Linked DNA regions of Drosophila melanogaster. The protein of the gene in region 3 interacts with the protein of the main gene of each other region in a pairwise test. Each region holds a gene or a part of one and is shown on either strand. Other genes may lie near its edges.

Evidence for each region.
Region 1: the proteins of CG14232 (region 3) and CG33144 interact in a two-hybrid assay, tested with the Drosophila melanogaster proteins (one large-scale study listed by BioGRID).
Region 2: the proteins of CG14232 (region 3) and CG4955 interact in a two-hybrid assay, tested with the Drosophila melanogaster proteins (one large-scale study listed by BioGRID).
Region 4: the proteins of CG14232 (region 3) and Pglym87 interact in a two-hybrid assay, tested with the Drosophila melanogaster proteins (one large-scale study listed by BioGRID).

The regions. Positions count from the first base shown.
Region 1 is NT_033778.4:10,795,269-10,801,525, forward strand, and holds the start of CG33144 (uncharacterized protein), read right to left. Parts: upstream 3,442-6,257; 5' UTR 3,072-3,441; intron 1-3,071. Other genes in the region: wde (windei), read right to left, coding at 5,455-5,903, 5,966-6,257.
Region 2 is NC_004354.4:17,079,202-17,084,996, forward strand, and holds CG4955 (uncharacterized protein), read left to right. Parts: upstream 1-2,245; 5' UTR 2,246-2,382; coding exon 2,383-3,449; intron 3,450-3,521; coding exon 3,522-4,008; 3' UTR 4,009-4,155; downstream 4,156-5,795. Other genes in the region: CG4949 (uncharacterized protein), read left to right, coding at 1-385; CG8945 (uncharacterized protein), read right to left, coding at 1,222-1,385, 1,479-1,668, 1,758-2,119, 4,265-4,779, 4,881-5,334.
Region 3 is NC_004354.4:19,700,606-19,706,704, forward strand, and holds CG14232 (uncharacterized protein), read right to left. Parts: upstream 3,655-6,099; 5' UTR 3,534-3,654; exon of another isoform or gene 3,458-3,533; 5' UTR 3,414-3,457; coding exon 3,284-3,413; intron 3,226-3,283; coding exon 2,798-3,225; intron 2,593-2,797; coding exon 2,128-2,592; intron 2,069-2,127; coding exon 1,649-2,068; 3' UTR 1,383-1,648; downstream 1-1,382. Other genes in the region: Tcs4 (Threonyl-carbamoyl synthesis 4), read right to left, coding at 1-883, 939-1,123; CG14230 (uncharacterized protein), read left to right, coding at 3,806-3,983, 4,045-4,334, 4,401-5,508, 5,571-5,737.
Region 4 is NT_033777.3:12,230,098-12,235,115, forward strand, and holds Pglym87 (phosphoglyceromutase 87), read right to left. Parts: upstream 2,633-5,018; 5' UTR 2,581-2,632; coding exon 1,702-2,580; 3' UTR 1,548-1,701; downstream 1-1,547. Other genes in the region: CG3916 (uncharacterized protein), read left to right, coding at 55-222; Cyp313a5 (cytochrome P450 313a5), read right to left, coding at 2,757-2,917, 2,972-3,533, 3,588-3,714, 3,772-3,844, 3,895-4,080, 4,140-4,340, 4,397-4,550; Cyp313a2 (cytochrome P450 313a2), read right to left, coding at 4,973-5,018.

The DNA.
Region 1 (6,257 bases), on a different chromosome or scaffold from region 3:
GTTATGGATTGTGAGTTGATTGATTGTTTAGGCCGGATTGTCCAGCTTAAAGAAGCTGGGTTCGGAAAAATATAAGTATATATACATATATAATATTTGGAATTTGAAGCAAGAAGTTTGCCCACCAATTGGTTTTTTTGCCCATGTCCAGTTTTGAAAATATCAAATTTCGAAAACTGTCCGAGATGAACATGTTTTATAACATGTGTTACATTGCAGCATTGCTTGTGGCAGGTGTCCGAAATCTTGGTTTGGGTTTGAGGTCTAAGTCCTGGGATGAGTTTTGGTGTTTCAAAAGCACAACTTAAATCAATGTTCCAGCACTTCGCAACAAGAACGGGCCCCATATAAACAGCAGATGTACTATGGAAGACCCAAAAAACACGCCCATTAACAGAACTCTTTTATGGCCGCTCCGCCCTCTGTTTGTGTCCCTGGAGAAAAGGGCTCGATTAGGGGACGATGTGAGGGGGCGTGTACTATCAGCTGTTTCCCATTATGACTACAGCGGAAATACACAAGCAAGTGGAAAACAGTCGAGGAAAAGCGGAAGCAAAAAAAAGGCCGCCACTGGCAATGCAAACACAGTAACACACTAAGGCACAAGCAAAACTCGCTTACACACGCAAGGCGATAAAAATAAAGCGAAGCCCACGGAACGAGAGGCAAAAATTGGAACTAAATGCGTATACGTAATGTGATAGAACCCACCTAAAAAAAAGGGAACTACGGAGTGATAATAAAACAATGGCACCGTTGACGACACTTCTCAACAAACATTAAGTAAGGGGAAAGAAACTTTAAATAGCTTTTTTTTTCGAAAAATATCCTTTAAACTCAAGTTCAGATAGATGTAAAATAGCCCTATTTTCTATATGAAGAAATGACCACCTATACTGTATCTAAATATTTTGTAGTTACTATTTTTCTTCGTTTTTGTAGTTCACTCGATAAGGTTAAGCAAAAAATGCCAGCAAAAAAGCAGAATCGAAAGGAAAAACAACTTTTCGTGGAAATACCGTGGTGAAAATCGAAAACCGAGAAAAGCGAAAAACAAAAAAAAATGTTATAACCACACAAAACTCACACATCCAGACACATAAAGCTACTTAAGCCCGGACACATCGCACACATTCAAGCGAGGGGAACCCCCCCCCCCCCCTGACAGCTGCCATGGCAAACGTGCGAAAGGGACGAAAGAGGCGATAGGAGCGACAGGGACGGGCAGAAACAAACAGTGGGACACGGAGCTTGTCACTTTATTTGGCTCGATTTCAATGCACTGCCAACTTGGGCATATTAGTATGCAAAACTGATAATCAATAGGCGACGACTCAATGCCCAACGCTCAGTGGAGATTATGGCGCAATTTGCATACGGGCATGTGCCATTTGAAGATGTCACCACCCGTATCCCTTATACCGGGAAATCCTCTGAATTCGTCCTCTCAACTCCGACCAGCGAAGGACTCGCTGTCGTTTAATTGAGCCAGACCATCGCCAGCGTACAATTTGGTGTTCTATGTGTGGAGCGCGAATTTTTTTCGCCCTTAATTGAAATACGGGATAATGACTCCAAAAAGCTTTCAGTCTAACTTGCCCTGCAACGATGGATTGCATAGATCAAACATTTGAAAGTGCAAGAAACTGGCTGGAAAACTGTACAGCAAATCGCAATTTGGTGGCCAATGTCATTTGTCAAACTATAAAATTGGGTTTTCTTAACTAATAAGCTTAAACAACTTGTAAAATAAGTTGTCACACTGATCGATTCTTTAGCTCAAAGAAAAAATAAATTTCTTTTGAATAAATATGTATTTTATAATATTAATGCCAATTAAAAAAGTACTCGCATTCAAGGTAGGTTTTCTCCAAAACATTTATTAATCTACACGAGCATTTTTATACCTATTGCTTTCCTAATATTGAAATGAAATGCTGGCAGGAAATACCATAAATATGAAATGCTATACCTTTTCATCGGTTCCTTACGACCTCTTCGCTGAAATTTTTCAATAACTCTCTGGGGATTTTATGGTCGCAATTTGCAATTTATCATCAATTTGATGTGCAAAGGGCCGAACATAAAAGTGGCTCAAATGGTAAATGTAACAAAGGGCAATAACGACGTATGTATATGGCTGCAGCAGGCGACTGACTAACCCCCAACTAGATCCATAAGCGTAAAGCTTGATTTTCTATTGATTTCTGGTCAGAAGCTCACTGCTATCACCTGAAATTCTGAGTGAAATGCACCTGCTGCTCCTACACGAAGAGAAACGTCACACTCTTTGATAGGTTAATGCCAGTACCGAATTAAGTTGCCCATACATTAAAACCTAAAATCTCTTTTTTATTGCAGTACAACAGAAATTTTGAACATTACAATTCATAGTGGTTTATTTTATGCGAATTTATTGTTGTTGCCCATTTAAAAGATTATGAAAATATTTTATTTTATATATTTATCATGTAATGTATTCATGTACTACAATTTTCTCCAAGTATTCCTGAGTTAACTCTTCAGCAGAATAGCAAAAACTATAGCATACTTATGGGCCGCTTTGAGAGTTGCCATAAGACGCTTAATAACTGTGAGTAGTGCCCAGCAGGGGCGTGTATGAGGAGGGCACATGGCAAGGACATGGGCGTCGAATTGAGGGTACTCCGTCCGATGTACGTGCCAATGGCCGTAGTCGCAGTAATAAACACACGCACAGCCCAGTTAACACAGAAATATGCCCCAAGTGTCAGGGCGGGCAAAACATGCGATGATGAGTGGGGAAAGTAGAGAGGAAATGCGGGGGGGGGGAGCCCAAGGAAATGGGAAATGGATTTTCAGTGGCCTTTGTAATTGTTGTTTTTTGTATTATTCTTGTTTTTCTTTTGTTTTTTTTATAATTACTGCGATAGAGCTGGTTTTTGTGTGTAAGTGTGTTGCTGTGGTAAGCACACATAACGGTAATTTAATTAACATACATAAACACTCACACCGGCACACATAAGGAGAATGTGGCACACAAAGAAAGGTGAAAGGTTGGCGGAGGGGGTTTTACTTCTTTGGGCACTTACGAATCGGTTTCACAAACTTTTCGACCCTTTGTAATCGATTTCGAAATGGGGGTCTAACACGGTTTTAATTAAGATATTTATACTTTCGAAAAGCACTTGACAATTTTTGATTATTTTCAATATACTATTTTAATTCTTGATTTGATCAACAAGCGCACACTAATTTCGGCTATACTTTTTATATATTTATAATTTTGTAAATTTTTTTTTATGATTTAACTATATATCTTTGGAGGTGTGTGTTTACAGGTTCCTTTTTGATTTTATTGTGTTGGCATTTTGCTGCTTTGCCGCCGGATGTTGCACGTTGCGCCAGCACTTCCGCTTTGCGACCGAACCAACCGTCGAGAAACGCGTTCCGCAAGCGAATAAACAAACGGACTTCCACCGCACACATTTGTCGCACTTCCATGGCCAGTGTTGCCGTGCTGCACGTCCTGCGCACTGCGCACGACGCGAGAAGAGAGAGTTTCCCTCTCCCGCTGCTCTCTTCGAAATGCAACCTGCTGACGGAACATCTGTGTTTTTGTTATTATGCTTTTGTCAGGGCAACAGCAACAACTGTAGCATTCAATTGCAATTGTGGCAACCGAACATCCATGTATTTCAATTACACTCACTCGTATGTCGGGGTCACCGAAAATAACTGCCGACTAATTGATGGCGCACAAACGATTTAGGAGCACATTTTGATTGATTATTGCGAACTTTACATATGCATAAGTATGAACGTATACGTCCAGTAATTAATCTGAGTTGTCATAGGAACAAGATATAGATATCAAATATTTAACGAATTGCTATTGTCTAAGATGGTCGTATTCATCAGAAATATATCTGAAATATACATATATCAATATGTGTAATAATATAGACAGGTAATTTCTTCTAGCCAACTATATTGGTATTGAAGTTTAGAAGTGGGTTATTGCAATGATTTTTATTTTTAATATTGGCTTTATGCCTGTGAAAATAATCAAAAATTGGTAATAATGTCAATTTAAAGGAACCCGGTTTTTTCGAAGCACAAATATGTGGCTTGGACAGCTCAAGTACAGCGCCTTTTTTGCAGGACGATTTCCACACAATTGCAGGATTTTGTGCCTCGTCGACGACGCTGCTTAATGTCAAGGTTTTTTGGCTGCTGTTGCAAGTGCAGCAGCAGCAGGAAAAACAGGAAAACCAGAAACGGCCGAATGAGAACGGCACGTGGCCAGCCCCCGCAACGAAAAGGGGCCAGAAAGGGGGTCGATTATGCCATTACCAGGGCAAAGCTGCACCTTCCGCCCCCGGAACCCCCAACCCCCTGCCAGTGCGCCGCGCATGAATGCCGCGACAGACCCGATTCGAAAGCCAATGTCAAGTGCACGCGGCACAAGGATATGGAGGCAGGAGTATATTACAGGCCGCCATCTGCCCCACTGTCAGTTCCCCTTCCTCAGTGCCCACAGCAGCTACAGTGGAGCTTCTATAAATTGACATTGGGCTTTCATCAATATTGAACTCTTCGATATGGACTGGCTTATGAAGACTCGTTTATAATAACACATAAATCCTATTTTCATATACGGCTTAAGTTTGACATACACAGGCTCGACTGTACCTCATCATCGAGCATTAGGACGGTCGTTGTTGTGACCTCCAAATTGGTTGGCACACTCACCTAAATGGGAGTTTATCTATATTTTATGTGCACGACTTATACCTCAGGCCCATTTCACTTGATCACCAATTAGTGACTATATGCTCAATATTTGCCAATATCAAACATCAGGTGCTTCGTCAATTAACTTGTTAATTAGATAGGAAATAGATTCTGTGGTTATAATTGTTTTTGTACCGTATTATAATTGTTACTACTTATTGTAGACGAATTTACATTAATCGATATCCATCCAAATTAGTCTGCGAATTCATTAGTTCAACAAACTACTCAAGGATGATGAACTTTTACTAAAACTAATTCCGTTCATCGGCTTTAAATAAAATAAATCAACTGTTTCATAATAGTAATTAATAAGTCATATTAGTCATATAAATAATAAGGGTCCACACACAAAATTGAATACAAGATAAAACGCTCTTCTCATTTGATATTTATTCAAATTATTATTTAATGTAAGTTTTGAACTTATTTATGTTAAATAACCTAGTGAGAATGAAATACAATGTTTTGTTTGTTTCTTCTTTACTGACTGCAGTGGATTGACTGCTTGGCATAACTTGTTTATTACTTCTTAAAAATTCTTCAATAATCTCTTTATAACTTAGGCGTATAAACTCATAATTCCGGCTAGTTTCGAGAACGGATTACCAAGGACAAAAGTAAATTACATATCTTCTACTAAAACTAGAATCTAAGGAAGAGAACAGACCAATCCGTCTACGACCAGGTCTTGGGAACACTGAACGGCCCGAATCGTTCGTGACTATCAACGCCCCGCACAGCGAAGTAATACCTCTGGTTCTCCTGGAACTGATTTAAAGTCACTGCCATTGGCAGCAACATAGCGCTGACATCGCCCACATGCCGCCAGCTATCCGTGCTGGGCTCGTTAATCGTCTCCTGGTATGCATAGATCTGGTACATTACGCACTCTGCGAACCGCGGGCTCGAATCCTCCAGAGTCCAGGATATAACGATACCAGTATCAAGGAGACTAATCCGGATAACGGGTCGCGAAGGAGGCACCTTCCAGGATGGATTGAAGGGCTGGGGAGGAGACGTGGGCAGTGGTGCAGGATGTGAGTATCTTAGACGAGACGCTGGAGGCGGGGTGTTTTCCGAACGTATCTGCATAGTTACGTTTGAGCCCAAGGGACTTTGCTGACCTTTGAATACGTTTGAAAATAAGTACGCCGAATATTTTGAATATAATGATTTTCCAACTCACCTCCTCCATTATTATGGACTATCTGTCGAGCATTTACGCGAGGCAATTGCATTGGAGAAGCTCGCACCACATTTCCGCCTCCTCGTCCTCCTCTCGTCGCTGCTGCAGTCTGAGCATTCCGCTTAAGCATCTCCATACGCAAACGAGCGTTTTGTGCTTGGGCAGCCCTAGCCGCCGCCGCAGCCGCTGCATCATCCTCATCTGTGAGGTCAATGACTGCCTTCTCCTTGGGCTTGGCCGGCGCCAAGCTGGACTCCTGCTGCTGTCCATAGCTGCCCAATTCCGATCCACT
Region 2 (5,795 bases), 2.6 Mb from region 3:
GGAGAGCACCCCGCTTCGCATGCTGGAAATGCAGGATAGCGCCGAATCCTTGCGCAGTCCCGATTTGATAGTCTTTGATCTGCAGTCGCTCGTTTTGGATGCACTACTGCGTCCTGTGATGCAGCAGTGCTCCACGAACAAAATGGTCCGGCAAATTGCCAAGTGCTCCGCATCCTTTGTGAATTACCGCGAAATCCTGGCCAATCTGGCGGAACAGAAGGCGGGCAAAAGCATCGACACCATTGTGGTCATGTCGCAGGAACCGTATCCCATGTCAGCAGCCCAGTTCAAGCTGCTTATTGGACTCTATTTCCACGGCAACGAGTGCCACACGAATTTTGCCAAGCTCTCGGCCAAGATCATGGTCTCCCAGAGATTCGCCTAGACGAAGGACAGAAGTTTGGAGCCACTACAGTGCCTTGGTAACCAGTTCCTGAGTTTAATCATAGCTGGCAGTATTGTAGTTATTCGCCGTATGCTCTTGCTTTTCAAACAATACTTACTTAGAACGTTTACCTTATGCATTATTAAAACATGCATTTTGTCAGGTTAGACGAATATTTTCAAAGCTGGAACGAATTTTCCAATCTCGAACGAATTTCGAGTTATTAAGACTGCATTTCCATTTTATTGACTTAAAGCTATTCATATTGCCTTCCCAAAAGATATCCAAATGGGGAACGGTCGAATATTTAAGAAAATGAATTTATAAAAGGCAAGGCACGCTATATTATATCCGCATATAATACTAAGACAGTGCGTACATTTGGCAAGAACTTAAGAAATACTGTACGTTGAAAATATCTCCCTACATGGCATCCATGCAAAATGTTATACGAAAGCGAAGCAATCGAATGCTCGATCAAATATAAGACTTTATTATAGTATACTATTTAGTCTAAAAGGGATTAAAACTACCAAAAAAAAATTGCTGATAATTAATTATAATATACATACATATAACAATAATATTTATTATGCTAAACGGAAATCTCAACTTAAGGGAATTTATATGAAATAAAAAAAAAATTTCGAATGCATAAGATACGTAAATGCAGCTAAAAGTATTGGAGAATGTATTCCGGAAATACGGCTAGTGATCTCCGGAACGCAAGCCACCAAAGCCCGTTTAAAAGGAACTAAAACTCATTCACATGTAGCCCCACCCCAAATCCCTGCTGCCTTCGTCTTCGATTGGAATCCGATCTCCGCATCCCAGCCTCATATGTAGTCCAGCATGCCGCTTATGATCTCAAAGGCATCCCGAGCCGTGGGCTCAATGGCGCTGCTGGGCAGCAGATAACCGTGCACTCCGTTGTCCGCCAGCTGGAGCGTGTAGCTGAAGGGAATTCCGATCTCGTAGGCGGCAAAAGCGTCCGCACAGCCTGGATAAATCAAGGAAGCCAAAGGATTGGCAAGGTCGGATAAAGATCTCTATTATATTCTACTTCGAAGCAAATAATATAAATATTACGCACCCGATCGCTGTTCAATTAGATCGTTGGATGCGTCGACCTTATATCGGGACTTACTACCCTTTTTGCGCAATCCATCGGTACCCACCATCGCCACGTCCAGAAAATCATCCAATCTTTCTGAATTGAAAGTGGAATTGGCCTTGACCGGATAGGATATCACCTGACCATAGGCCTGTAGGGAAATGTAAAGCTGCAAAAATAATGAATAAAGTTAATAAATCAAAAAATATATCTATTTTAGAGAGTTAATATAAAAATTATATATTGTTCTAAGCATACCTTTATCTGCGTCCTATAGTCCATAAGGAACTCAGATACTGCCTTGGTTTCCGGTTCAGAAAATGGCGCTGGACCGGCGTAGAACTCATTGCAGGGTGCCTTGGAGCTACCCCGTTTGCCCCAATGATACAGCCAGTTTCTGTCCAGGTCCACCCCGTAGCAGACCTTATCCGGACCCCGTTTTTGCTGGAGCCATGTCATCGCCGAGTCGAGGAGGCCACTGGGAGGTGGAGTCTGGTGCTGAGATCGCGACTTCTTCCAGAAACGATCGTACTCGTGGCTGTACGCATATCCGTCCGGATTCAGGACCGGCATTATGTACCATGTGGTGTTCCGGATGAACTCCACGTCCTCGTTGCTTTCTGTTGAGTAAACGTTTTATGGGTTATTTTTATACATAACTTTACATAATGCATATGAAATAAATGTTAATAAATATTAATTCTCTTAAGAAAATAAATACGTTGTTCAACCGATCAACGTAGCCGCTTTTCCCCAACTCAAATTACATTAGTTATCCCTTTGTCAGTCCGTTAGTCAGTATATTTGTAGACCCAGAAATCGATAGTGTATACTTTAGACCTTTACAGCTTGCCACTTCTCCTCCAGTTGGACCAAGATCAGAATGGAGAGGCGAAGACCCCGAAAGTCCTCGCGTAAATACGTGTGCTCCAAATCAAACTCTTCAGTTGGAGGAGGAGTAGAGGAAGACAGTGGCTCATCATTGCCTGCCACCGCCAAAGCGTTACTCCTCCAGCCGGACGGTAATAAAGCACCAACCATGACATCCCTTCTGGGCGAACGACTCAGAAGAGTTTCTCGCATCGCAAGAGCTCCGCACAGCCTACAAGTTACCGAAAATCCAGAAGAAGGTGGAGCACCAATCGTACCACTAAGAGAATCCGGCGCATCGGAAGTGTCAGAAGTAAATCCGGGGGTTATGGTCATTCCGGAGTCGGCCAGTCCCCGGGGATCGGCGGTGCATGGACAACACGCTAGCTTGGTCTTCAGTGCTGAAGCCAGGGATTCGGACAGTACGCGGATATCGGAGGAAATGGTGGAAGTGTTCCAAACCTCTTCGGCGAGAACCACATCCAATGAGCCCGCAGGGGGCAATCTGCGCTTTGAAACCACTCCCGTGGCTGTAAGCGAAAGTATGGTTGGCAATATAAACTTCTCCCCGAACGCCATCTACGATCAGAACAGGTATAGCAGCATGATGTCCAACGGGGATTACAATAATGGCAACAGGGGTGAGAGTGAGAGGAGCGTGGGAGCCTGCCACCATGGTTGGGCGGCGCGACAACAACAAGTTGCCGCTGGACCTGCCGGCAGAGACACCCTGGGATTCGCCATCAGTCTGGGCGCCGCTAATTTGGGCCAGAACCGATGCAGTCTGGGCGTTGCATGCGATGAGGACTGTGGCTATGGAACTGGCTGTGATTTTGGATGCGGTCAGGCCCATGGCGTTGATCCCGGAAGCTTTCTAGGTCCGGGAACCATGGGAACTGGTCCATTAATATTGACAACGGGATCAGGAGGCCCACCTGTACAGAGCGCCCTACGAGGAGCTCAAGGTGGCGGCTATAAGCAAGTTGGCGCCGGGCAGCGGGGAACTTTTGGAACAGATTTCGGAAGTGAGCAGCTTAACTTCTTCATTACCTTCCTATTGGAGGTCCTCGGTGTTTTAGTGTGAGTATATATTTATATATTCCAGGATTGGATCATTCCAACTCTATGATAATCTACGTAATCTTCCATTAGTTTTTTTGCCATCTGCACGATAACATTTTGGATTACTCTGGGCTACCATGTTGTCCAGTTGCTGGTGGACCTGAAGAACGCCGATCGCAACATTCAGGTGGCGGTGGCCATTGTGTTCGGGCTGCTGCTCGTTGCGTTTGCCATATCGCAGGTGACCAACCTCAGTGGTTCCTGCTGTCATTCACGGGATCGAGCCCGTTCCAGAACCAAAGGTGGTGGCATTGGCTTCTTTCACAGATCCACCAAGCCAAAGACCAAGAGCTGTGCATCCAAAACCAAGACCTGTGCTCATAAGCCGAAGATTAAGAAGGCAGCCACTTGTGGACCCAGCCTGGGCTTTCACACGCACCGCAAAACGAGGTATACGGATTGCGAGGGACGGGCAATTTTCTTGAGCTCGAGACGATATGCTATTCCGACTGAGATGAAACAACCACCCACCATTGTGCTCTGGATGCGCGACACACTGGTTCGCATGTTGCAGTAACCACCAACGAAGCCCCACGTTGGGCGCCAATAATACTTAAACTGACTTAAGACTGCGAAACTATACGTATTGCCTGGAAACACGAACCATTCGATCATTTGCAAAAATTTCAATTTGAATAAACTTTAAGAGAAAACTTTTGTAGGTATTACTAAATTGTTACTTATGATCTGGGCCAGTATTATTAATATCGTGAAATAGATGTTTAAGAATACGAACATACTAGTTCGGTAATAGTATATGTGTATATACTCACTGTTTGTTTTCATTAGTCGCAGCAGTTCGGCAATCATCCAGGTGGCCGCCGCGGGTCCAATCCAGGCCAATCCCTGAGCACCAGCTTCGACGAAAACGGCATTTGCCTGGCCCGACTTCCGCTTCCGCTTGGGTCGCTTGATGGTGTGTAGACCATCGTTGTTCGCCGCCGCCGCCGTCTGTTTGGATTCGATCTTTACCACAATTAAGGGTCGACCTTCGAAGGAACGACCAATGTGGATGAGCTCAACGAGCTGCGGATGACGCATTCGCACCGTCTCCAGATACTTGACGATCTCATCGTGATTATGGTAACGATTCCATGTCATGGGCGGTGGTGCCGTGGGACGCGGCTTCGAGGGACGAGTGGTTTGTAGGTAATCCTCTTTGGTCAGTTCGTATGCGATGGCCTTGCCCACATCGAAAATGAGCACTTCGTGCGCTATGCCCTCGTAGTTTAGAGTGCCCTGAAAGTCCACGAGCATCTTGGGTGGCACAAGAACATCCGTAAGACCTCTGAAACGATGAGGTGAGTGAGAAGATTTGGTTTAAAATGTATTGTAATAATCCCCAAATTGATTGTCATCATACATTTTTGAGCTTTAAGTCTAGCTTACCTGAGACTTGGACCCTTGAGCCATTGCAACTTAACGCCGTCCTCGCCCTTTTTGAACTCCTCCAGTGCACGGACCTGCTCTTCATCCTGCGGCTTTAGACGCCAAATCTGATACTTGTCATAGCTTATGCGCCTGGGAACGTCCGGCCGCGATGTGGTGGTTGTGGTGCTAGTGGTTCCCCTGGTGGTCATTCGAGTGGCCAAGGCCTGGAGGAGCGGATTACTTGTGCTCGTAGAGATGGCACTGCCAGTGGAATTGACAATATGATGGGCCAAAATGCCAATCCAGTTTTGTGGATTCCTCAGTGGATCCACAATGGTCAGGATGGGCACCTGGGCCGCCGCCGCCGATGGTGTGTGCGTCGTTGTTGTCGTCGAGGTGGTCGATGTGGAGGTAGTGGAACGACGTCTAAACTTACGTTTTGGCCGCGAATCGAACCAGCTGGAAAACCATTCTGTTCGTGGAGAAAATAAGTCATATATTGTGCTTGGGCTGTTTGTCTTTGGTTATATTTCCTAGCGGTGCAGAAAGCGTGAAGGAAAACGAGAACCCATTTGGGAGACCCACACCGTTAGCCATTCAATTAGGTTCTGGGTTTTCCCTTTTATCTTCCTGCTCATTCAGCCAATCTCGCCATTAAATGAACCACTCGAATAACAAGAACATAGCATGGCTCGCTTTTAATTGCACGGTAATTAGATTGAAAACAACAATGTTAGAAAATCCAAACATATAAATTAATGAATTGTCTAATCATCGTTACTATAATTCCTAAAATAAATATCAAATCAACCATGAAGTTGTTTTAACTGCCTTTATATATGCATGACTATTATTTTGGGCATAGTTTAATACTACCTAACATCCTTGCAATCTGTAAGCATTGGCCTTAAACATTGAACATTCTTTTTTGTA
Region 3 (6,099 bases):
GATCATGACGCCGTTGTCGGAGCAGTACCGCTTCGATGGACGGAAGCTCCTGCAGCCATACTGCGCGGCCAGATGTTCGATGTTGGCGTATATGGCATCGTTGTTGGCCACACCGCCGGACATGACCAGTGTGGGCGGGGTGTCACCGAAGAGCTGCCTGTGCGGCAGGAGGCAGTACTCAATTGCCCGCTGCGTGCGGTGCATCAGGTGCCGGCTGACAGAGCGCAGCAGGCCGGCGCAGAAGTCGCCGTAGTTGCTGATGACTCCGTCCGGAGGTGTCCGCTCTGCCCGCTCGCGCGCTCGGATGGCCCGGAAGGAGTTGTTCTTGATGCCGGCGAAGCTGAAGTTGCAGTTCCGCTGCTGGGCAAGTGGCAGCGGAAACTCGTAGGCCAGCGGATCGCTGGCCAGCTGGGCGGCATGCTCAATGGCCCGTCCTCCGTTCCACAAGCGGTACTCCGGCAGAATGTGCAGGCGTAGTCGCCGACCGATCTTGTCAAAGGCCTCGCCGGGCGCATCATCCAGTGTTTGGCCAAGAAGCGTAAGGCGACCGGGGCCGTTAGCCACCACCAACTGACAGTGGCCGCCGCTGGCCAGCAAGCAGAGGAAGGGGTAGCCGATCTGCTCCGGATGTTCCATGCGGGCCTGCAGCGCGTGCGCCTCCATGTGGTGAACGGGCAGCAGGGGCTTCTGCAGGCGACGGGCCAGGTGCCGTGCAAAGCGCACGCCCACCAGCAAACTCAGCGGCAGTCCGGGACGCGTGGTCACCGCGATGGCCGTCAGTTGGTCCGGCTTCAATTGCGCCGCCTCCATGCAGCGCTGGTAGGCGGACTCGATGCGGGCGCGGTGAAGGTCCTGGGCCCTGGGCGGAATAATGCCTCCATAGCTGCAATCGATTCAGTTCATCATTGGGCACCGCATGCGGAGATGTGAGCACTCACCGGGTGTGGAACTCCTGTTGCGACTCCAGCACATTGGCAATCACTCGGCCCGTGGTGTCCACGATGGCGATGCCCGTGTCGTCGCAGGAGGTCTCGATGCCCAGGACATAGCTGAGCCGGCGCCTGATCCCACAGCCAAATACATTTGCTATTCCATTGCCGGCAAAATTACGAAGTGCATGCATAATGGCCAGTGTGACCAGGCACCGATAGAAACCACAACCAGCAAATCGTGGGACCGTTAGTGTTAGGGCCCCTTACACGAGCCAAATTCTTAACTATACTTTAATGCAATTTTTATTTAATATAAAATAATAATAATAGTTGTTTCAATGCCCAAAATTGGTAATAGCAATTGTGTCGTATGAAGAAGTTTCCTAAGTGAATTTTACGAATAATTTATTCTTCATTAAGAAGCAAAGAGATTTCGAAAAGTGATTATTTACAGTTGTCTTTATATTGTTTATTAGTTTCAAATTGAATTTTGGACTTGTCTTCGTCGGTTACAACTAAATAATAAATAATATTGGTTTAGTCTGAAATCGGCATGGTCTTTTCCCGCCGCTTGTTTCCCGGAATTGCAGCAACGCACACGTAAAACCAAAACCTCACGCACACGCACATACAGATTATTCCGGACTTGCACATTAGCCGTTCGTACGGAGATAGGATTCATCTAAGTTAGTGGTAAGTAAATACATTTTGGCCTCTTAACGCTCGTAGTAGACGCGGTAGTACAGCGTCTTATTGCGCCAGATGCTGTAGCTGTTGTCGAACTTCAGCAAATAGACGCCCTCGCCCGGATAGGAGTGGGAGCCCACGTAGACCTCGTTGTAGCACTCCCGTCGATAGATCGGTACGATAATGGAAATGGGTGCCTTGGGGGCAGCAGTCGGGTTGTTAACTGCGCCGCGCTCCTGCGACAGCGAGCCGGACTCCAGGTCCTCGGTGGTGGATAGGTAGTCCTCGTCCACGCAATCCTCGTCCTCGTCGGAGTCGCTCACATGCACGGTCACCTCGTTGGTCACGGGCTTGGCCCACTCGAAGTAGATGCCGAAGCCGATGTCGTAGCTGTCCGTGGCGAACTCCCAGAAGATGCACTTGCCGTTCATGTTGGTGGGCACACGGACCTGCAAAATTGTGCCGGTCAATATGGGCCTTGTTTCGTCATTAGTTGATTGCCACCTACCGTCACCGTGTCGCCGTGTCCAATGGTGATGACGCCGTCCCCATCGCCGGCGGACACCTCAGTCTTAAACTGCTCGATGTCGGGACGAGTCCAGATCTTGGCCGGGCAGATCATAACGTAGTCGTCGTACTCTTCCTCGCCGTGCTGTTCCTGCCCAACGCCCTCCAACGTCTGCTCTACATGCCCGTCTTGCTGCTCGGCCAGCTGCTGGTGCTGCTGTGTCTCGACCTCACCGAGCTTCAGTCCCTCCATGGCGTTGGGCAAGTCGGTTGAGCTGTTGTTGTTATTGCCAGGGACGTGTTCTGCTTCCTGGTGTCCCTTGTCCTCCGTGTTCTGATTCTGATTCTGGTTCTGGTTCTGCAGATGAAGCTGTTGCATGTACTGGTGATAGTGCTCCCGCTGCAGCTGGTGGATAAGCACGGCCTGCTGTTCGGGGTTTCCGGGGAACTGCTTCTCAGCGTACAGCTGTGGAACGAGTGTAAGCGTTAGAAGGGCCAAGTTAATGGTACAGGAGCTGGCATGCAATTGCCTGAGAACTGGGTCATGACCCCTTTTCAATGGCAGACAGCGCAGCCAAGGCCGAGCACCCAGTAATTATCATGCATTATTTAGCACAACAACAGGTGCAGAGGGCCGGGCCGGTGTGTTGTTGAAAAAATCGATGGGCTACCTTAAACTGCTGGTAAGTCTGCTTGTTGAGTGCGTCCTGCAGCTGGCGGCGCTGCAGCTCCTCCTTGTAACCCTCCTCGAGCAGCTCCTGCTGGGCGTTCTCCTGCCGCTCGCGTGCCTCCTTCTTCTCCTCCATGAGGCGCAGCTCCTTGCGCAGCGTCTCGTCGCGGTCCTGCCGCACGGCCTCAATGTACGGCCGAAAGGCGCTGCACATTGTGTCCAGCAGGTCGACGAACCCCTCCATCGCCTGCTCGCGCGTTATCTCACCGAGCAGCTGCCAGTGCTGCTGCCGGTCGCGTCCGATCACGTCCAGGACGCCCAGCGCCGGGGCGCGACTCGTGTTGAAGGGGCCCAGCGCCGCCTGCTGCTTGAAGGCGATCAGCTTGAGGTTGTCCTCGTACGACAAGTGGATGGCCTTGCCGGAGTTCCCTGCAATATGTGAGATTAGCCGTTATTGGTGCGCTAGTGCCGGGATCTCTGCTCTTACGCTTGTAGAACGTGAATGCCAGGCGGTAGAGCTCAATCAAAGGGAAGCCCCACTTCTCGGCCGATGATGGTGCCATGTCCGTCGACTGGGCCGTTTCACTGCTGCTTGTGCCGCTTGTCCCGCTCGCCATGCTGCCGTTGTTTGTGGGCTAGTCCACGATTGCTGGCCTGCAAACTTTTCGCACAAAACAAAACAAAATAATAGAATTTATTGTGACGTCTGCTGCCAGTGTGACCAGCCAGCTGCGCACCTAAAGTAATTGTATTGCTCGCCTTGCAACACTGACCGATGGGGATTATTTTTGTCTAACTTAATGTATTTGCCTATTTACAAAGTTGCTAAATAAATTTGAAAGCTGGTTTAGTGTTGCTTGGACTTGTTAAAAACCTGTATAAAGCAATTGGGAATTGGAATTGTGGCTATATTTAAGTGTAAGTTTTTATCTGCCCGCGGTCACACTGGCCCACAGCAATTCTTGCCGGGATTTGGATTCTACACGTGCATTGCAAGCGTAAACATAATATGGGCAGCACTCGGTTCTTCCTGGCGGATCTGCCGACCAGGACCTCGGAGTCGGACCTGCAGATCCTGTTCCAGGACTACGGTCACGTAGAGCACGTGGATCTGAAGCGCAAGGAGCAGGATGGGGCCACTAAGGTGATTGCCTTCGTCACCGTGCAGACGGATGATGCCCAGTACTGTAAGTTATCCGCGGAAGATCACAGCCAGACGGAAGGAGTAACCATAGCTTGGTTTTGTAGGCGTCAACGAGCTCAAATGGCAGAAGTTGCACGGCGAAAAGCTAAGAGTTTCTCTTGCCAAAGAATCGTTTTTGGATCGACTGAAGCGCGAACGCGAAGAGAACCAGCGCCGGGAACAGGGCGAGCCAGACGAGTCCGAGGTGCGTGCGCCGAGCTCTCAGCTCCTGGTGCAAAGTGGCCAAAACAAGCGCAGGGTATTCGGAGAGGATGAGGAGATTGGTGATGATGAGGTCGCTCCAGAGCTGCTGATTACCAAGAAGCGCGCCGCCAATTCCATGCACAATGGCCGGGTATGCACGCACTCATTGTTCCCAAGCTCATTGTCAGCTAAATTCCTTTCCTTTCCTTTCCCACAGATTGTCATCCAGCAGGAGCACGACGTGAAGCCACTCCATGTCATCGAACAGCACCGCAAGGCAGCCAAACAGAAGCCGGACGCCAATGTCAGCCAGGCGGAACAGAAGCGCAAGGAGTCGCTCAACAAGATGCGTCAGGGACACCAACAAAAGAAGTCAGCCATCCAGCAGGCGCTATCTGTGATATCAGTCGAAGGCAGTCAGGCAAAGAGAATAAAATTCAGCGACGCCGAGGAGGAGGAGGCGTCCAAGCCCGTCCAGAAAGCCAAGATACAAAAGCGGGATCTGTTCGAGAACGACGACGATGAGGAAGAGGAGCAGATCGTCCTGCCGCAGCATAAGGGCAAGAAGGGCGAGCGTCTGGTGGAGATGCAGAGCAAACAGAGTATAGATCCCCGCTTCCGCATCACATCGAACTTTGTGAACGAGGAGGAAGAGGCGGAGCTGGAGGATCAGCCTGAGCCGGAGGAGAGTGAGCGCAAATGGCACATGAACATTCTGGAGCAGGTTGTGGGACACGCGATCACCAGTGCGAACGATAAGGACGGTAAGTCGCCAAAGAACAAAAAGATGCTGCGCTTCGATCCGGCCAAGGAGGGCCATCAGAAGCTAATGCGCCAAAAGCAGCCCAAGGAGGAGGAGGAGAAGAAGGAGGAGACTTCCAGTACGAAAGCCAAGACCGCCGACGCGGGCAACAGTCAAGCTTCAGCCGTCTCGAAGACGGCCTTTTACATTGTCACCGACACGTTGAGGGATTCGCTGAACACGCGTGGAGAGGGTTTCAGCCTGCTGGACATGTTCGGCAGTGCACCGGAGAAGGAGGTGGCCAAGCGCCAGGACCAGTTGGAGAAGCTGGGCCATGAGAAGATCCTGGTGGGCAAGACGTCTGCCAATAAGCTCGGACTGGCCACTCTCAATCCGTTCTCCTACGACTCGTCCGACAGCGAAGACGAAACCGAAGTAAAGCCGAAGCAAGAGCAGGAGCAGGAGCAGGAGCTTGAGGTCAGCAAGGAGAACAAGGCCCAGCCAGCGAAGAAGTCGGGTCAAAAGAGGAACAAAAACAAATTGGAGTCCTTCTTCATACCCAGAAACGATCCTCGTCTCAAGGGTAAGAACGTGAATCTGTGCGTATTTTTTCATTCTCAACAAGCGATCGTCTTTTCTTTGCAGAGGGCGCCAAGTTTTTCAAGTCCACGAAGGCGGTGGTTGACCATGCCGAATATGACCAAGTGAAGAACCGCCTGAAATTGCTGATCACCAAAAAGATCGCCAAGGCGAAGAAGAGCCTGCCCAGCAAGGATATCAAGCTGCAGCGGAATAAAAAGGGAAAAAACTGATCTAGGTTAAATTATACCCTTAGTCTTAAGCATAATCCTGTGTAAAATAAACCAATATTGTTCTTTTTTTTTTTTGTAAATGGTACATGTATTCATCTAGATTACAAAAAAAAAAAATGAAATGTTTGTGCTTTAGTTACTGCACAAATGCATTTGAGCCCCGTTGCAGCTCCAACTAGATTATCGTAGCGGTGTGAATCCGGCTCTGTTGAGATTCATTCGGCATCCGCTGGTGGGATTCCGCCTAACTAAAAGCTAATTAAGTGAATTAAGATTATCGCTTCAACAAAAATTGCGGCGCTTAATATTCAACATTGCAATTAAGTTTCATTCGTCCGCTAAGCACTTGTGTAGGCTCTCTA
Region 4 (5,018 bases), on a different chromosome or scaffold from region 3:
AAACAAAAAGTAATATCACGCTAAGCGGAATTAATCATGCTTTCCCAAACTTAGGGCGACTCTGGTGGACCCTTGATTAGGCCCGGTAAGCAGCCGCACTTGGTGGGAATTGTCTCCTACGGATCATCCACCTGTGCCCAGGGCAGACCCGACGTCTACACGCGGGTGTCCAGTTTTCTGCCCTACATCAGTCAGGTGATCAACCAAGACTTGGCCCAATAAATACCGACCTGTAGCGCATAAATAAACCGAGTCTCTGCCCGAACTTGACTAAATTCCTCGAAGTCTTGCGTTCTTGGTCACATCCCCCCACTTTCTACGCTTTGGCGACTAATTAAAAATCTTGTTCAATATTCGCCACAGCCAGAGGGAGGGTGGAGGAGTTCGGCAGTCCGGGTGTGGCGTCCACAGAGTCGCCTTGCCATCTTCGTGGTCTAGGCTTGGCCCGACTCCAGCGAAAACTTGGGCTGCCGCCTGCCAGGGCGACCATGATAAATGCAAAAAGCAATTTATCGCGCATTTAACTCAATTCAGTTTCTTTATGGCAGCGGGATGTGGATGCGAGCTTGAGGATGTGGAGACGTGGGGATGTGGAGCCGGAGCGCTTGGTCGACGGAGCCTGCCACAAAGTTTCGCTGACACGCACACTGTTCTGCGAACTCTGGACTCCTCTCCAAAGACCGGGCCTTGTAATTCGATATTAGATTTTATGCGCGACAAAAACGAAGTGCAAACATTTTTATGTTCCCGCCGTTTCTATGCTGCAATTGGTATACCAATTTGACGGGGCGCCGACTTTGACTTTAACTTTAACTTCGGTCTGGGCTCCACTGCGTCTGTGTAATTAGGTTCAAATAATGTGGAGCTCAGCCTCTTCGCGCCACACTAGTCAGCAAGATATTGTAGTTCGCACAGCCCTCATGGAAGGATGATCCTGCAGAGGACCCAAGTTTGCCAGCAGAGTGCCCGTCTCCTAGCTCGTTTCACGCTCTCAATTTACTGGATCAAAGCTCGCCACGCTCGGCGAGCCTAACATGGAAAATCTGGCCCCAAATTAACTCCCATATGGTAGACGGCTAGCAACGGGTCAAATGCTCAGAAGACTAAACCTAAACACCAAAACTCCAACCACCTACCTATCCATCTCAACGCATCTCATTCGGAGGGAATCTGAGTCTCGCTGGGCACCGCGCTCAGCATATAAATTCATTTAGATCAATCAATTCAATTTGTTTGTCAATAAGCCCTAAATGAGTATTTCATTTAAACAAATTAAAATTCGACCCGTTCGGAATGCCAGAGGCTGCTCAGACTCATCCCGCAGCAATTAAAATTGACGCGACACACTCGATTCCCTGATTTCTTAAACGAGCGCAATGGAAACACATATAAATACGGCTGGACTTTGGCTCAGACCCAGACCCAGACCCACATCCAGACCCAGACCCTGGGACCCAGAACCGTCGCCTGAGTTCCAGAGACCAAGACCAAGACCAAGACCAAGAGACCAACGGCCAGCCAGCCCATCGTTGTTGACTCTTCATTGTCAATTAAAATCAAATAAATTTATTTGCTTCTTGACATTCGCCTGGCCACAGTGAGCACCACTTTCGATTCGCCGCTTTTGTTTGGCATACAAGTGCATTGAGCTGATTGCTCTGACCTTCTTCGGAGGCTGCTGGGTATACCCAAAATCACGGATCACTTGGCTTTGCCCTGGTTGGCCACCGACTCCATTGCCTTCTTCACCGTCTCCGGATCGCCGAGGAACTTCAACGTGGCCAAAGGCTTGAGGCTCTCGTCTAGTTCGTAGACGAAAGGAATGCCAGTGGGCAGGTTGAGGCTCATAATGTCCTTGTCAGAGATGCATTCCAAGTGCTTGACCACGCCCCGCAGGCTGTTGCCGTGGGCGGCGATCAGGACACGCATTCCATCCTTGATCTGGGGCACTATGACCTCGTTCCAGTAGGGCAAGGTGCGCTCGATGGTGAGCTTGAGGGACTCGGATTTGGGGAACTCCTCCGGCTTCAGTTGGTCCTTGTAGCGCGGATCCTCAACAATGCAGGCGTAGTACTCGTGATCCTTCTCCATTGGCGGCGGTGGGGTGTCAAAGCTGCGGCGCCAGATCTTAACCTTCTCCTCGCCGAACTTCTTGGCGGTCTCGGCCTTATTCAGTCCCGTCAGTCCGCCGTAGTGGCGCTCGTTGAGGCGCCACGTGGTGCACACCGGAATCTTCTTGTGCTCGCTGGACTTTAGGGCGGCCCTGAGTGTCTCCTGGGCTCTGGTCAGCACCGAGGTGTGGGCCACATCGAACTCAATTTTGGCATCTTTGAGCGCTTTGCCAGCGGCACAGGCCTCCTGCTGCCCCTTCTCCGATAGCTTGGCATCGAACCATCCGCAGAATAGGTTCTTCTGATTCCATTCGGACTCTCCATGACGAACCATCACAATCCTGTACTTGCCCTTCTTCTCGGCCTGCTTTCCGCCGGATGATGACTTCGAGAACGGGCAGCGGGCTTCGATGTTCGCCACGCGACACAGCAATTGGCCACACCACGAATTCCTGGCCAGAGCCAACATTTTGGGACACTTTGAATTTGGAAAGTGTTTGCAGTCTATATCGTGTTCATTTCGAATGGATTTTCTATTAAAAGTGCCGGGTTGAACCTATGACAGTAAGAAAAGTTCGTTGAAATAAGGTTACTTTGAGGTTTTTATTTCATGCATTCTAACAGTATGGAAATATTCTTTAATGATTATATTCTACGTTTCACTGCTAGTAATGGTTGCTCAGCCAGCTTCATAGTGGTATTGTCTATAAACCTAAGGTCCTTGTACAAAAAGGTGGTACTCAGCATATAATTTCGTAATATTTTAGCTAGAGCTAGCTTTGCAGATATCAGCGAGAGTTTCCAACCTAAGTACATAATATATTATAATAGTGTAAAGGAATTATAAGAAAGTTACCCACCTAAGCATGTTTTCTTCCCCTTCGAAAAAGGTAAATAGGAATAAGGTGGCCTTGCTCGCTTATTTTCAGGCAGAAAGTTATCGGGATTAAATGCATTAGCCTGTGGTCCCCAGATATCCTTATTACGATGAGTGTGAAAAATGTCTATCATTAAGGTTACGCCTTCTGGAATATAAAATCCGTTTGATAGTTGAATAGAATGGGAAGTTTGCCTTATCAGTAATGGAACGGCCGGTATTAAACGCATAGTCTCATGCAAAACTCGATCCAGCTTCACTAATTTCTCCAGATCCGCATGACTGGCTTCGAATTCTCCTCCTGAAGGAAACACCTCTGCTAGCTCCTCAAATACATTATCCTGGTATTTAGGAAACATTGCCATCAGGATAAGCACATTGTTGACTGTTATAGATAAAGTATCGGATGCGGCAAATATGATATTAGAAAATTCCCCCATTACGTCGTCATAAGAAAGTTCTCCGATTCTCACAAGATTGAGAATGCGGTCAATTAGTGCCGGTTCTGAGCTATTATCTGTGCTACTCAGCTTTTTGTCTATTATCTGAAAATATGCATATGTTTAGAAGGAAATCTCTGACTTCTGAGTTATAAGTACGTCTTTGATGAATGCATTTGACTGCGTTGCGGCCTCTAGTCGTCGTTTTTCATAGCTAAATAGCTTTCCAAGATACTTGTTCCTGAGCCAAGGCATTACAACACCAATGGGTATTAGGTTGTTAAGGCTATAAAATAAATAGAGTATAAATAAATCTACTAATATAAGATAGAAATAATCATACGCCTTGTAGCTTTCCAAAAGATTTCCGTTCTGGTAGTTCGCTTGATTTCTCACTTCATCACCCATAGTAATTTCTTAAATTATAGAGTTAATAAAATAAGAATATAGCAACCTATTTACTTACGAGCGGCTATTTTGAATGACCATTTATTGAGTTCTGGAAGTAAGTTTATATCTCCCCCATCGACAAATTCCGCGAGTAAGGTCACCAGGAAATTGGCTTCATTGTTTAAAACTGGCACAAAACTTAGAACAGCATTATTCTTAAACGATGGTAACAAAAGTTTTCGTCGTTCATTCCAATGATTATCTATACTTACAATTGATTGTCAATTAAGAAACAAGAAATTATAAGAATTTTTCACTTACTCTTTAGGGTCAGAAGGCCCAGTCCTAAACATGATGAAATGGCCTTGTCCACCACAGAACTCCTGTTGCTGCAATTGGGAGACGTGAAAATGTCCTCAAGGATCTTAGGTTCACAGGTCACCAGGACGGGAGTTAAGCCAATCCAAGTCAATACCGTTTTTCCATATATTTTAAATAAAATGGTACGCAGGCGTATCTTACCTGTGTAAAAACGTTTTTAGTTTTACCTAATTAAATTCGAAAATATAATTACTTACGTTTTAGGCGAATGTACTCAAAGGCAAGTCCGATAAACGGAAAGCCCATTGGTCCTGGTAACTTTAGCATCATAATATAAAATCTTCTTCGACTCCATAGAAAGTATACACATAAAATGATTGCAAATGCCTCAAAAATTTGCAGCGTAAGCATTTCAATCTGCGATTTGGGTGAACGGTCTTGAATGAATATTTGGGAATTCGGACGAGCTTTATATAGGTGAAACATGCATAGCATTTAATTGCTCTAGAATATTTTTAACTCGCCCTTTCATAAATGTGCCAATTCCACTTTGACCTTTTGCACATTTATAAAAAATAAATTCCTATTTTTCATATACTTACTTTGAGATTGCTTTGAAGCCTTGCCGGTGTAAGGCTTGCTTTGAAAAAAGTAGTGTTTGTCTTGTAGTTTCTAAGTATCTTGGCCAAGAAGATCTCGGGTGAAACAAATCAATACTTACAAGTTTTAAAAACAATCATAATCAAAACTACCAAACCGTTTTATTTGTGATGGCTGTATAAAAAGAATTCTTAAAGCCAATATAATAGAATTTTCAAAATAAGAAAGTTATGTTATAAAGTTCGTCGTTCGAATGCCAGTTGTGGTGACTGAGCAAGC